Drosophila melanogaster: one gene and its partner. The protein of the gene in region 2 interacts with the protein of the main gene of each other region in a pairwise test. Each region holds a gene or a part of one and is shown on either strand. Other genes may lie near its edges.

Region 1 (6,825 bases), 3.4 Mb from region 2:
AGTACTCTTCCGCATGATCCATCATGCTCATAGCGAATAAATGACGCTTTTCAATATTGGCATCTGATAGCAAAGGGTTTTTCCTTGCAACTCTTGAAGAGTACCTATGGCGTAGGATGACTTGGCGCACAGTTTCGTGTGACACAGTTAGGTGACATTCTTGCCTGATATCCAGAGCAAGTGATCTGACCGAGATTCGGGGGTTCGCAATCACTATTCGCATAATAAAGCGGTCTACACGCTTTTTAATTTTAATTTTCCGCCCACCACCACTCTTAGGTTCAAGCCTGCCCTCTTTTTCCGAGCCTTTTAAAACATTGTAGACGGTCTTACGGGATACAGGAAACATTTATACTAATTCTGGAAAAGATTTTCCCAACTGGTGGTTATAGTTTATTAATTGGGTAACTTCAAAAGTTAATCTCTTTCCAGGCATTTTATTAAATTTAATAATTCGCTTTAAGCACGTTTGATCAGCAAAATTTCACAAGCAAAGTCAACAAATTTCAATAGAAGCGTTGTAAAAAGCAATGTAAAGCCAAAAATAACGGAAAAATCGAGTTCGTTCTAAGAAAAAGAACAAAACAAAGTAGGAAAACAAAATGTGTAAAGAGTTTCTTGACAGTCTCAAAAGTGTGTAAACTTGGAATTTGTTGTTTATTTTCTTGTATATTTAATATTTTTAATTTGTTTTTTGATTTATAAGTAAAATAAATATTGTTTAATTATATTTTATAAAAAAATTGCGTTTAATTAAGCAAAAAACCCTTTATTTTTAGCTTTAAAGTCAAAAATTCAACTTATTTCACAGTGTGTAAACAGTTTCTTGACAAACTGTATGTGTCGCAAAGAATTCCGGGGAAAAACACGTTTCTTCTCAGTTTATACCCTACGTGCGAGGCATATGATTTGTCCTATCAGCCTGTTGGAACCGCTAACTCATATATTCCTTAATCTAACCAAAAACAAATTTTGCGTCGTATTTGTGAATAATGCACCGATTGATTTGATTGATTGCTTTAAGAGCGGCAGAGAGCAAAGATTACAGATAATAGGATAATGACTATTATAGTCAGAACACAATATTCTGTAAGAATCATGCAACTTATAGTTAGATCTAAATGGGCTTAAGATTATGGGTCTTGGAACAGAGAAGTTTAGCCGACTAACCAAGTCGGGACTATCAAAATATAAGTCTCAAAGCCTCACTCACTAATATACCCTACGTTCTCTTCTTTCAGAGGACGAATCCTATGAACTGTCCTCGGAAATCTGGGCCGTCGACATGGAGATCACTGACAGCGAGACCGACGACGTGCCCGTCAGCAGGAGCGTTAGCGTCAGCGCGAACGTCAGCGGGAACGTCAGCGGGAACGTCAGCGGGAAAGTCAGCGGGAACGCTAGAGGAGCCTTCAGCGGGACCCTCAGCCAGACCGTCAGCGCTACCGTCAGCGGGACCGTCAGCGCGACCGTCATTGGATTGGTCATCAACGAGTTCGTTCCAATGCCATTCAGTGGGACTCTCAGCGGGATCCTCAGCGGAACCCTCAGCGGGACCGTCGAAGGGACCATCAGCCGGACCGTCGACGGGGCCGTCAGCACGACCGGCAGCGGAACCATCGAAGGGACCGTCAGCGGAACCGTCAAGGGGACCGTCCGTGGGGCTATCAACGGGACCATCAGCGGAACCATCAGTGGGACCGCCAGCGGTACCGTCAGAAGGACCGCTGACGGAAAGCTCATTTTTGAGACAGGTGCAAGGTTGAACAATCGAAAATTCATTATCCACGAAATCTGTGGAATGAATTGTGAAATAACTCTTTGAAATTACAAAGTTTTTGAGATACATAACACGCTCTGTGAACAACCATGACTATGAGGTACCCGTTACTCAGCTAGTCGGATTGCGAATAAAATGAGAAAAAATTAAAATTGTTTAAAGATGTGGGTGTGATTACAATCCAAAAGGTGCAAGGTGCAAGGTGAACAATAAAACTAAGAACAATCTAATGTGGGCGTTGGAGTGGTCATGGAAACATGGGTCAACAATCTTGGGCTGCGTCTATGTCTCTGGAATCTGCACGCTTAATCTAAACATTCTAGCTTAAATAGTTCCTGAGATCTCGACGTTCAAACGTACAGACAGGCGGACATCGCCAGATCGACTCGGCTACTGATCCTGATCAAGAATATATATACTTTATATGGTCTGCCTGTTACATACTTTTCAACGAATCTAATAAACCCTTTTACTCTACGAGTAACGGGTATAACTATGTCATTATCTCAAAAACTGTGGATAATTCTTTTAAATAAAATGAAATAAAATGCTGCAGCCCTGGAAAAAAACCTATTCCTATTTACCCACTTATTGTAATGCATTTCTTTGTGGGTATTTTTCGCTGAGGCCAGCCATGGTCACTCTGCTGTAGACAAGTGCATAAACATTTCATCCAGGTGAACAAAAAGTAAATAAAGAACAATTTTAACCGCACTGCAACCCAACGGCGAGCATTAATAAGAAACTTCTCCACGATGGCTTCATTTTTCAACGTTGGCGCCTTGGGAAATGTTTTCTCCACTCCAGTTGGCCAGCGCATAGGTGAGTAAACCACCCTCCCCCCTCCAGCGTAAAAAAAACACCCACCGGAAGCGGGGGTGTGTGTATATGTGGTTAAAGCGTAATATTTTCCACAAATACAACGCATATGCGTTGATATTTACGCATTTACATTGATAGTTATCTGATTAGAGGACGCTTCAAGGCAGTCCCAATCAGACTGGGCCATTGGAAAATTGAATTTTCACAACTTTCTTCGTGCGTTTGCTTGTTTTCTTGTTTTGTTGTTGGTCTCTCACACACACGCGCACATTTCCATGTAGCGATACTCATTTGTTGTTGCCAGACCATTACTATGGCAAAGCGGTCTGATTTGATTTGAAAGGCGGTGGCAACAACGGTGGGCCTCTGATAAGATTAACCCTTATATGAGTATGCGGTTCCAACAGGCAGGTGTGACAAATCAGATAAATGTTTGTTGGTATGCTTTATGAAATTGCTCACCTTTTGGCACGCACACAAAGAGTATTGTTATTGATGCGCTCTTTTATTGTTTGATTGCCTGTTTTCCCTTCACCCCCTCCTGGCGGCCACCTGTTTTGCGCCCTTAGTAATCGCAATTAGTCATCGTTGCCGCTGGCCGCTGGGTTACATAAAAAAATGTGTTAATTTATTTCGTGTTCCCCTTTGGCTCGCATTTTCGCCATAATTTCCATTTGCCGCTGCACACACAACAAACACAGATACACACATTTACGTGCAATCGTGCATATGTATTAGTGCCGTACTAATTTGTTGCTTCGCTTTTTTTATGAGCTCACATTTTGTTATTGTATTGCGGTTGGTTAGCTTTTCCCATATCTCCTATATCTGTTGGATATCAGTGTTACGATATCTGATATCTGAGAAATACACTTTGCGCAATGGTTTCGTTTTGGATTTAAACAAATTGCTTTGTGCATTTTTAATTCGAGCAAGTCATTGCACTTGGTAGATCCTAAATTATAAACGAAAGATAATGCTCGCCCACCTGTTAAAAAACACAGTTTCAGCCGCCCATAAAAACAAACAAAGGAATGCAAATTGTTTACTTGGGTTTTCACACAGAAAACGAAAAAAATAATTACATCTTTCGGATCAAAAACCGCACAATTTACTTGGAATTATAATTAAATATATTATTATAATTAAAATGTAACGAGCGTTTTCAGAAATAAGATACAAATTTAAAAAAAAAAAATAGGGATACCTTTTTTGTTTTTGTATTTATATTACATGAAATATTGTTGCAGTTTTTTTTTCTGGAAGAACGATAGATTTAAAAAGATCTTAAGGTGTCAACTAATACTTACCTTCTCACCTTTCAGAGGCCGCCACCGATGCCAACCTGGCCTCGGAGAACTGGGCCGCCAACATGGAGATCTGCGACATGATCAACGAATCCTCCGACACTGCACGCGATGCTATGCGTGCCATTCGCAAACGCCTCTCCCAGAACGCCGGCAAAAACAACCAGGTGGTGATGTACACGCTGACCGTCCTGGAGACATGCGTGAAGAACTGCGGCAAGGCCTTCCATGTCCTGGTGGCCCAGAAGGACTTCATCAACGAGCTGGTCAAGCTGATTGGGCCCAAGAACGATCCACCAGCCGCCATGCAGGAGAAGGTTCTCAGTCTGATACAAATCTGGGCGGATGCGTTTAAGAACCAACCGGATCTCAACGGCGTCACCCAGATGTACATGGAATTGAAAAACAAGGGCATCGAGTTTCCAGCCAACGATCTGGATGCCATGGCACCCATTTACACGCCACAGAGGGTGAGTCGCTGAGGAATCCTCTTTACTTTAACCATAATAAATGCTTTCATATGCCTTTTAGAGTGTTCCCGAGATGCCCCCTCAGCTGGTGGCCGCTCAGCAGCACACAATCTCGCCTCAACACATGGCTGCCGCTGCTGCCGCCGCAGCTGCAGCCGCAGCTCCACCCAGCACAGGTCCTTTGCATTTGACTCCCGAGCAAGCGGCTAAGCTGCGCTCCGAACTGGAGATCGTTAGCAACAATATGTCCATCCTCAGCGAGATGCTCAGTGTTCTGAAGCCCGGCCAGGAGTCGCCCGATGACTATGCCCTGCTCAATGAGCTCACCTCGACCTGCAAGGAGATGCAGTCTCGCATCGTGGATCTGATTGGACGTGTCCAGGACGACGAGCTCACCGCGGAGTTCCTGCGCATCAATGACGAGCTGAACAATGTGTTCTTGCGCCACCAGCGTTACGAGAAAAATCGTTCGCAGGGCCAGGGTGCTGGTGTTACCTCGCCCTCGGCTGTGCTGGGCGCAGCCATGGGCCTGCCCGGTGTGGGAGCAGCTGGAGCAGGAGCCACCACGGTGGCTACGCTACCACCTCCGCCCACAACTACCGCCGTGAGCAATACGCCGCAAAGTGACCAACTGCTGATCGATCTAATCGAAAGCAGCGAGGAAGCCCAACTGCCACAGAGTTTGGGACAGATCAGCCTGGGTGGTGGAGCACCCATTGGGGTGCAGAGGAGCGCACGACCTGCCGATGAATTCGATATGCTGGCACAGTCGCGCACCGATGGCAACCAGTCAGTAAAGAGTGCTTTCCAATCGAGCTCATCAAGTATTAACAATAATTCTTTTTTTAGTAAATCGGACTTGCTGCGGGACATTCCCTCGGTGGACGCTGCTGCTGGGAGTGTGACTGCCACCGCCTCGCCTTACAAACCAAATCAACCGCAGCAGGCACAGCGCTCAGCCGGCGAACCGCCGGTGGTAAGTAAAGTGAGTAACTAGCCGCCGGACAGCCGGTCTAACTAATGGCGTTCGATTTGTTCCCTTACCTTTTGACCTCGTTTTCGCCATTGATTTACACTATGTGTCTAAATTTGAAAATATGTTTTGGTTCTTTTTTGTTCTATGCAAATTGCGTTTGGTTTTCGTTTCGTTTTGTTGTTCGGTTGGCGCCCACACACAGTCGACGAAAGAGAATGAGATCGACGAGATGGAGGCGTGGTTGGGCAGCTCAGTAAGTAGCCATTCGAATAGCATTTTGTCTTTTTCTAAGCTCATCTTACCATGCACTCGGCTTCAGTTTCTCGATTTACATACTATTCCTTTGCTTCTTAGCTTCTGTCATCCATTTTCGAGTACTTAATATGACTAATGAGTCATTTGTTTCCACCACACAGCACATCGAGGGAATTGAGGAGCTGACCAGCTCGGAGTTTGACAAATTCCTAGAGGAGAGAGCCGCTGCCGCCGAGAATCTTCCAACGATCAGTGCATCGAACTCCGCCGCCAGTGCCACGACAGGATCGGCAGGAGCCGATAGCTTACGAAAGACACCAAAGAAACCGGGCGCCGAAGAGGATCTGCTCGCGCTCTGAGTGATCTCCGCCAGCACCATCATCGGCTCTAATTGTTTACTCTTTCAAATGTTATACACACCCTAACATACTTATCCGTAACGTCTATTTGATAGCAGATACATAGTAACACTTTATGTAAAATGCTTTTATTTTTTACAAAAACAGCAACGATAACTATTGATTATATTCCAAAAAAACAAGCGATCTTTTGTTGGTCTAATTGTAAGCCACGTCTACACATTGATGGTAATTTAATGTATTACGTTACAAGTCTATTTGTTGTTTATTTATACATACATTATAAAGCTAATTTATTTTACAAAATCGAAAAGAAAAACTAAAACAAAATGGAAATACATTTCAAGCACATACCGATTTCGTCTTTGTTTAAATATTTATATTACTAAGGGGCTTAATCTGAGTCGTTATCTATATTCATGACTTGAGTAGCTGCTCCGTAGGCATCGTCCTCGTCATCAGAAAAAATCCTTTGATTATTCTTTGCTCTTGATACTTTCCCGGATCGTTTTTCCAACTGACTCTCTAAATCCCGGATGTGGGCCTTTTTGCTGTTCAAAAGCAGCAGGAATTTCTTGAGAAGTTCCTCCTCCTTCAGCTTGCTGTCCCTCACATACTTTTCATATTCAGCCAGGGATGCGGTTGTCTGGGCGTCGGATTCGGTGGCTGGAGCTGCTTGTGGCTTCTGCTGACCAGCTTCGATGGCTGCATCCAGCATCTGGTAGCAGTTGGAGACTTTTCTAAGCGGAACATCCAAGTACAGCGTTTCGTATCCTTCGCATTTGTACACTTTGAACGCTGGTTTTTCGACATCTTCCATGGATATTTCATAATCAAATCCTTGGAGTCCCATGTG
Region 2 (6,211 bases):
TAGTAAATGCATTAATCTTTCAAATGCCAATGCTTGTGCTAAGGCTCCATATACCATCACAAAACATTTTCAGATGTTAGAACAAAGGCAATCTCGATTGTCGCCTCATCCACTGACTTTTGCTGTGCGGCGGCCTTGGGCTTCGTCTTTTTCGGCTAGTCTTTACCTGATCCTGCTTGGATTCATTGGGCTTGCTCCAGCGACCATTGGCGAGCAAATTTTAGACGGTAGTTTCATATGTGGAGTTTGGCATTTAATAATTCGATGACTAGATTTGCTAAATATTGTGTAGGATGGGTATGGTGTGTTTTCAGTGTAGGTGTAGGTGTTTGGATGTGTAGTACGCTGGTAGATTGTTCAGATATACAGACGCTAAAAGGCTAACCCGGGCGCAACGTAAACAGAAAAATAGGATTTCAAAGTGGGATCGGCGCCTAGTTTCCCGTCTAGACTAGAGCTAAGAAAGCTGATCTTCCGGCTGAAAGGCCGAAATACTTACATTGCGTGGACATGGTGCCCATTTGGTTGCGATAGCTGTCTCTGGCCTTCTTTAGATCCTCCTCCAGTTGCAGTTTGTCTGCATGGAGTCTTCGTACATGGGCATGAGTGCTCTGGATCATCGAATAGAAGACATTGGCGTTCCGCTTAGTGCAATCTCCCCGCTCCAGCCACGCGGTAATCGTTTGAATGGCCTTTACAAAAGTCTCGTTGGTGCGTAGGTGCTCCGCAACAGTAGTAGCCTCGTGATCCGTGTAGTGCGGTATTGGTGGCGGCGACTGCGATCGCATCCTGTCCATCGACATGCGCTCACGATGACGCTGTTCCCTCTGATGCTGTCTCTGTCGACACTCGTAATCATACTGATCATCCCGTGCCTGTGCGTAGTCCACATGCAGGCGTCCAAAGTTGGGAGGTTCATTTAGCGCTGATATACGCAATCTATAGCCGGATAGGTAGATGGCCCTATCTATGGCACCCTCTTGGCGGTAGCGAATATGGCAAAAGTTCTTCTTGGACATGCGCAATGTGGTGATCTCGCCGCATGATTCGAAGATCTCCCGGATCACTTCTTCGGTTATGTTTTCCGGCAGTCCACCCACAAACACCGTCCGGCATCCTGGTGGTCGCTCCCTTATTGTGGGAGGAGGTGCGTTCGGATTAGGTGGAAACAGGATGCAGTTCTTGGTCTTGATCACCTCCTTGAGGCCAGCTGGTGTAACGCCATCTAAAAGTATGTTTTTATTAGAATGTTTATTTAAGGTTCCAATTTGGTATTGCTTTCATTACCCGCATTAAGAGTTGCTTCTAGTCCAGCTCCGGTTTCTGTGGTCATTCCGGCTGCTGCTGCCGCTGCATAGTGCATCTGTTGCATTTGTTGCATCGCCGCCGCCATCATGGCCGTAGGATCCATGAGCATTTGCGCATTGGCGGTGCTGTTTGCTGAAGCTGCCGGCGTGGATCCCCCTGCAGCCGAGGATGGATTGCCGGGTGCAGTAGCACCACCCGCTTGGGTGGCCGGAAAATACAGATATCCAGGTGGTGTGTGCACCAAGCCATTCAGGTATAGTTGCGTCGAATCGGGCAGAGTGAGCGAGTTGGATGTGGCCTGCAACTTGGGTTCCTTGTGCATCGTCGAGGAGCTCACATCCGCAGAGTGTTCGTTCTCATTCTCCAGATCCATGGGCGCACTGCCCTGTGGTTGTTGTTGTTGTTTTGCCATCTTATTCTGGATCTGTTTGGGGGGCGAAGAGGGATTTCCCACGACAGATGTGCTCGAGGCCGCCGTGGAAATTGCAGCTGCCAATTGGTTGAGGAAATTCGGGTGATTTGGCAAACTGACGCCATTCGGCATGGTCCCAAAGAGCGGTACTGCAAAATGTACACAGTTTGTAATTTGCTTTAAAAGAGATAACAACCCAAACGAAGCCGGTAGCAAAACAAAATAACCAATCAGCTGAGCACCTCAATTTTCGATAGGTAAAAAAAGGAAATAAAAGCTGGGGGGTGGCAAGTGCCCAAAATGGCGTAAGTCCCACCTGCTGATAAAAGTCGAATTCACCGCAAATACTGTTGTTTCTTAATTTCCCAGACCTTTCTATTTATTCCATTTTCTTTGCTACACATTTTGTGGGCTTTTTAAAATCATTATCTTATCACTTACGCATATTAACGCCCCAGTAATTGTACGACAGGTATGTATAAAAAAAAACTAATTATATTTAGAGATGAGTGACTGCTCGTACTGGTCACCCTAAAAAGAGTATCGATATCCGATAATTTCGGCGCTGCCACACTTTTCACTATGAATCATCAGCTGTCGTCAGTTTTCTAGAAAAACAAAACGTAGTTGTATGAAATTTTTGCAAATTTTTGTGGACTCAAAACAGTTGGAAAATTAAAGAGACATGTCGGTTAATACGGCTCACGCCAACAATGGCGTGCTCATCCATGCTGGAGAGTAGTAAGTTAACGGAAAAGTCCTTTAATTAACACTGAAAATGCTGAACATCCCTGACGTCATAAATGTAAACACTGACGTGTGGCTGGCGATTTGAAAGGAAATTAGCCTATGTTCCAGCGATAAGATAGAAATATGGCACACAAATTAACTGCTTTTACACTTTCAGCATACTGCTCCACAGCGACAGTGTCTCCATGGAGTTCTCCGGTCAGGACAATCCCATCTTCAAGGGCTCCAAAGGTGGCAGGATTTATCTCACCTCCCACCGAATGATCTTCAATAGCAAGAAGTCCTCGGATTCGATGCAGTCGTTCAGTGCCCCGTTTGTTGCTCTTTCGGATGTGGAAATCGAACAGCCCGTTTTCGGGGCCAACTACATCAAGGGAAAGGTTCGCGCTCAGCCAAATGGAAACTACGTGGGCGAGGTCAAGTTCAAGCTCCATTTCAAGGCAGGCGGCGCAATTGAGTAAGTGCATTGTGCACCTAAATTAAAACTAATTAGACGGATCTCTTGATAAGTCTTAATACTGAATAGACTCAAGAGAATATATAATGTTCTGATTAACAAGTCCATTTCTTATAGATATGGTCAAGCTCTACTGCGCTCCGCCAAGACGGCGATGAACAACTACCACCGCGGTGGTCTGGCTGGTGATGATCCGCCACCATATCAGCCGGCTGGATCCTGGAATGAGGCACCACCGCCGGCATATCAGCCACCACCTGGCTACTATGGCTGGCTGCCGCAGCATGACGCATTCAGCGGCCCTGCGCCGAATACGGTCTATATGAGCGACAATCCGCCGCCGTATCCGGGTATCGGTAAGTTAAACGCACGTGCACTTTACCCAATCTATACTCGGCTTTTGTTTTGGCACGCTGGCTACGCGAATTGGCAACCTGGCTTACCCACGAAATTCACGCTACGCACTCGCTTCGTTTAACCCAATGGGGCACTCCTCTCTTTTTCGTCTTAGCACCACCTGCTCACCAACCAGCACCGCAACAGCCGCAGGCACCGTCGTCGAATGAACCCAATTGGTATGGTTTTTCAGCGCCGCCGCCGCAGCAGCAACAACAGCAGCCGGGCTATGGGCCACAAGGATGGGCCGGTGGCTATGTCCAACCTCCGCCGTACGCTTCATGTGCCCCAAATTGTCCACCACAGCCGCCGTACGCCGCTCCGGCTCAGACGTACAATGGTCCACAGCCATATGGTGGATACGGCAATGTTCCTGGCGGATTTAATACCCCCGGATTTCAGCAACCGAATGGAAATCCAAATGGCTATCCAGGTGGACCACCGCCACCCGGACAACAAGCAGCAGGAGCAGCTGGAGGAGCCGCCGCATCTGGAGCCAGCTTTATGGGCTTCAGCTTGCCCCCTGGAAGTGAGTAGAACTCATCATCCCATTCATCACTTTTTTAACATTTCCCTCCCACAATGCACATTTCTAAATTGGTTTTATTCTAGCAAAAGATAAAAAAATATGAGCAAAAGGACAAGAAAATTATGAACATCTTTAAAATAGTCGAAACATCTAAAGATCTAAAATGTTATCAAGAATTTAATTGAAGTATCATGAACCACCTTTTGCTTTCGGACGCTCAAAGTATTCAAGAGGCATCCAAAAACCATTCAGAAGCATTCGTTCTGTTTATTTTTCTCACTTACAAAATTATTCAATTTGTCCAAATAATAAATGATTTGTTAGCATAATTCATTTGACGGTGTAATATTCCTTTTTTGGTAGTGTTTATATTTGTTTTTTTCCCATTTTTGAGTTCCCTTATCAGGTTTCTCACCTAATATCCAAATAACGATTAACCTATTACTAATCAAAACAAAATTATTTCCCGAATCTAAAAAAAAGCATTTATCTTTTGACCTATTTTACAGTGTAATTAAAAGCAAACTACTGTACCTCAAATAGCCATCCCGACAAGTAAGATTTATTGTTTCAATGTTACCCAAAGCAAATTACTAACAAAAGCCGAGTCTTCAAGTAGTTAAGTCTATCCGATTTGATTTAGTGACATTTAATGGTTTCTTCTTTAACTTTTTCTTTATTACCCACAAAATGCGAACCAATAGTAGCCAGATTCGGCAGCACCCATCATTATTTCTATCCAATTCAAAGACCCATGTGTGTTGTGCTGGTTCCAGCTTTGATACCGTAAACATAAATTGTAAGAGGTGAATCGCAATGGTGTAAATTTTATGCTGTGTATATCGAGCTTGAGAACATTTATTACCAAAATGGATTGTTTTCTATTTTAACAGATTCCAAAGAAGCCGAAGCTGCAGCAAGTGCTTACAACACACCCTACAACCAAGGCGGGCCCAGTGGATCAGGCAACAATGATTTACCACCTTCTTATAATGTAAGCGATGTGGAACATTGTATTGAAAAAATGTCTAACTTCTTTTTTGTGTCTTATCTAATAGAACTTGCCACCCAGTTATGATGATGCATCGAAAAAAAATCACTAAAAGAAGCTGCATACTATATTCCCTTACGAAGAAATGCTAAATAACTAAGTAATTACTGCTCATTCCGTTGATGAAACTCTACACGAAATTATTGTTGTTTTCGGGCATTACAAATGTGCTTGGTTGGAATATTTGCTTGGAATTGTTGCTAATTAAATTCTTTCATAAGCAGCATATTCTTCATATGCTTTGATTTCTGGTCACAAAATTAGAATTTTGCTCTTTCGGCTTGATAAATTGTATTATTTTATATATGAACATAACATTAACCAACTTGTTGTTATATGAGAAAAACAGTACTATTTTATCCGTTATAATATATAAACAATTTATTATATAAAAGTAATCCAATTTCAGTATCTGGCTTTAATGGGGTTCATCGGAGAATTGATCAGGGATCAGACAATTCTTTTCAAATCAATGATTTTTTCGTAACCTCGTTGGGTATAGAAGTATCCACGTCTTTTGGTTTGCTCTGCTATGTATATTCAATAATATACGTAAACACTTTAAATCTTATTTTAAAATTTAAATTAAATCAACTGTATTTTTAAAAATACGAATTGCTGTATTTTTTAAGAAGGATGAATTTTCGGAAAAATTCAAGATTCTTGTAATGTAAAAATATATTTCGCTATAAATTTTCCACTTTGGATTTAAGGCCACCTCGAATGCGGTCATGCTAACAAAAATGAAGAAGATGTTCATTCAAAAGTAGACTTCAATTCCAGTTAGCCGACTACTAGACAACAACAGGCTGATTTGGTCAGTTGTAGAAAATCAATCATACGCCACATGCGCAGTGGCGGGCGTGGTGAGAAATCGGTGCCAGGACTTTGACAGGCAAGGAATGGCAAGCAGATGTCTCTTGAAAAGCGGTTGAAATATATCTTGTAAATAGTGAATGTGCTATTGAATTCAGTTCAATTAAAGGGCGTAACCGCCAAATCAGATGATAGTTGGTGTTAAAAAAATGCCAAGTGGCTAATTGCTCAGCCACTTGTGTCTGTTTTTTGTTTTTTGTTTATCGATTTGTGTATAACGACGAACTTGCACCCTATATGTACATATGTATGTAAGTACGGCAGGCAAAACAACAGAGCAGAACTCACGCCCACTAAGTTGGCCAAAGTGGAAAATAATGCCAAGGTCCAAGAACCACAGGGAGTAATTAAATAGGATTTGCCAGCGGAAATCGTCGCATAAAATAAGAGTACAACATCATGGATGTTGGTGGCCAGGAAACCACCTATGAG

Evidence for each region. Proteins that work in one complex are often made in the same cells at the same time.
Region 1: the proteins of Wbp2 (region 2) and CG3529 interact in a two-hybrid assay, tested with the Drosophila melanogaster proteins (one large-scale study listed by BioGRID).

The regions. Positions count from the first base shown.
Region 1 is NT_037436.4:9,444,461-9,451,285, forward strand, and holds CG3529 (uncharacterized protein), read left to right. Parts: upstream 1-2,403; 5' UTR 2,404-2,535; coding exon 2,536-2,602; intron 2,603-3,927; coding exon 3,928-4,379; intron 4,380-4,440; coding exon 4,441-5,168; intron 5,169-5,228; coding exon 5,229-5,364; intron 5,365-5,557; coding exon 5,558-5,608; intron 5,609-5,771; coding exon 5,772-5,969; 3' UTR 5,970-6,325; downstream 6,326-6,825. Other genes in the region: Srg3 (Sting-regulated gene 3), read left to right, coding at 1,242-1,825; CG3448 (uncharacterized protein), read right to left, coding at 6,364-6,825.
Region 2 is NT_037436.4:12,847,871-12,854,081, forward strand, and holds Wbp2 (WW domain binding protein 2), read left to right. Parts: upstream 1-2,294; 5' UTR 2,295-2,405; coding exon 2,406-2,461; intron 2,462-2,627; coding exon 2,628-2,927; intron 2,928-3,044; coding exon 3,045-3,283; intron 3,284-3,438; coding exon 3,439-3,852; intron 3,853-3,935; coding exon of another isoform or gene 3,936-3,955; exon of another isoform or gene 3,956-4,184; intron 4,185-4,361; coding exon of another isoform or gene 4,362-4,366; exon of another isoform or gene 4,367-4,407; intron 4,408-4,556; coding exon of another isoform or gene 4,557-4,642; exon of another isoform or gene 4,643-4,658; intron 4,659-4,745; coding exon 4,746-4,846; intron 4,847-4,910; coding exon 4,911-4,955; 3' UTR 4,956-5,299; downstream 5,300-6,211. Other genes in the region: CG10948 (uncharacterized protein), read right to left, coding at 500-1,225, 1,288-1,869, 2,162-2,165; Ent3 (equilibrative nucleoside transporter 3), read left to right, coding at 6,179-6,211.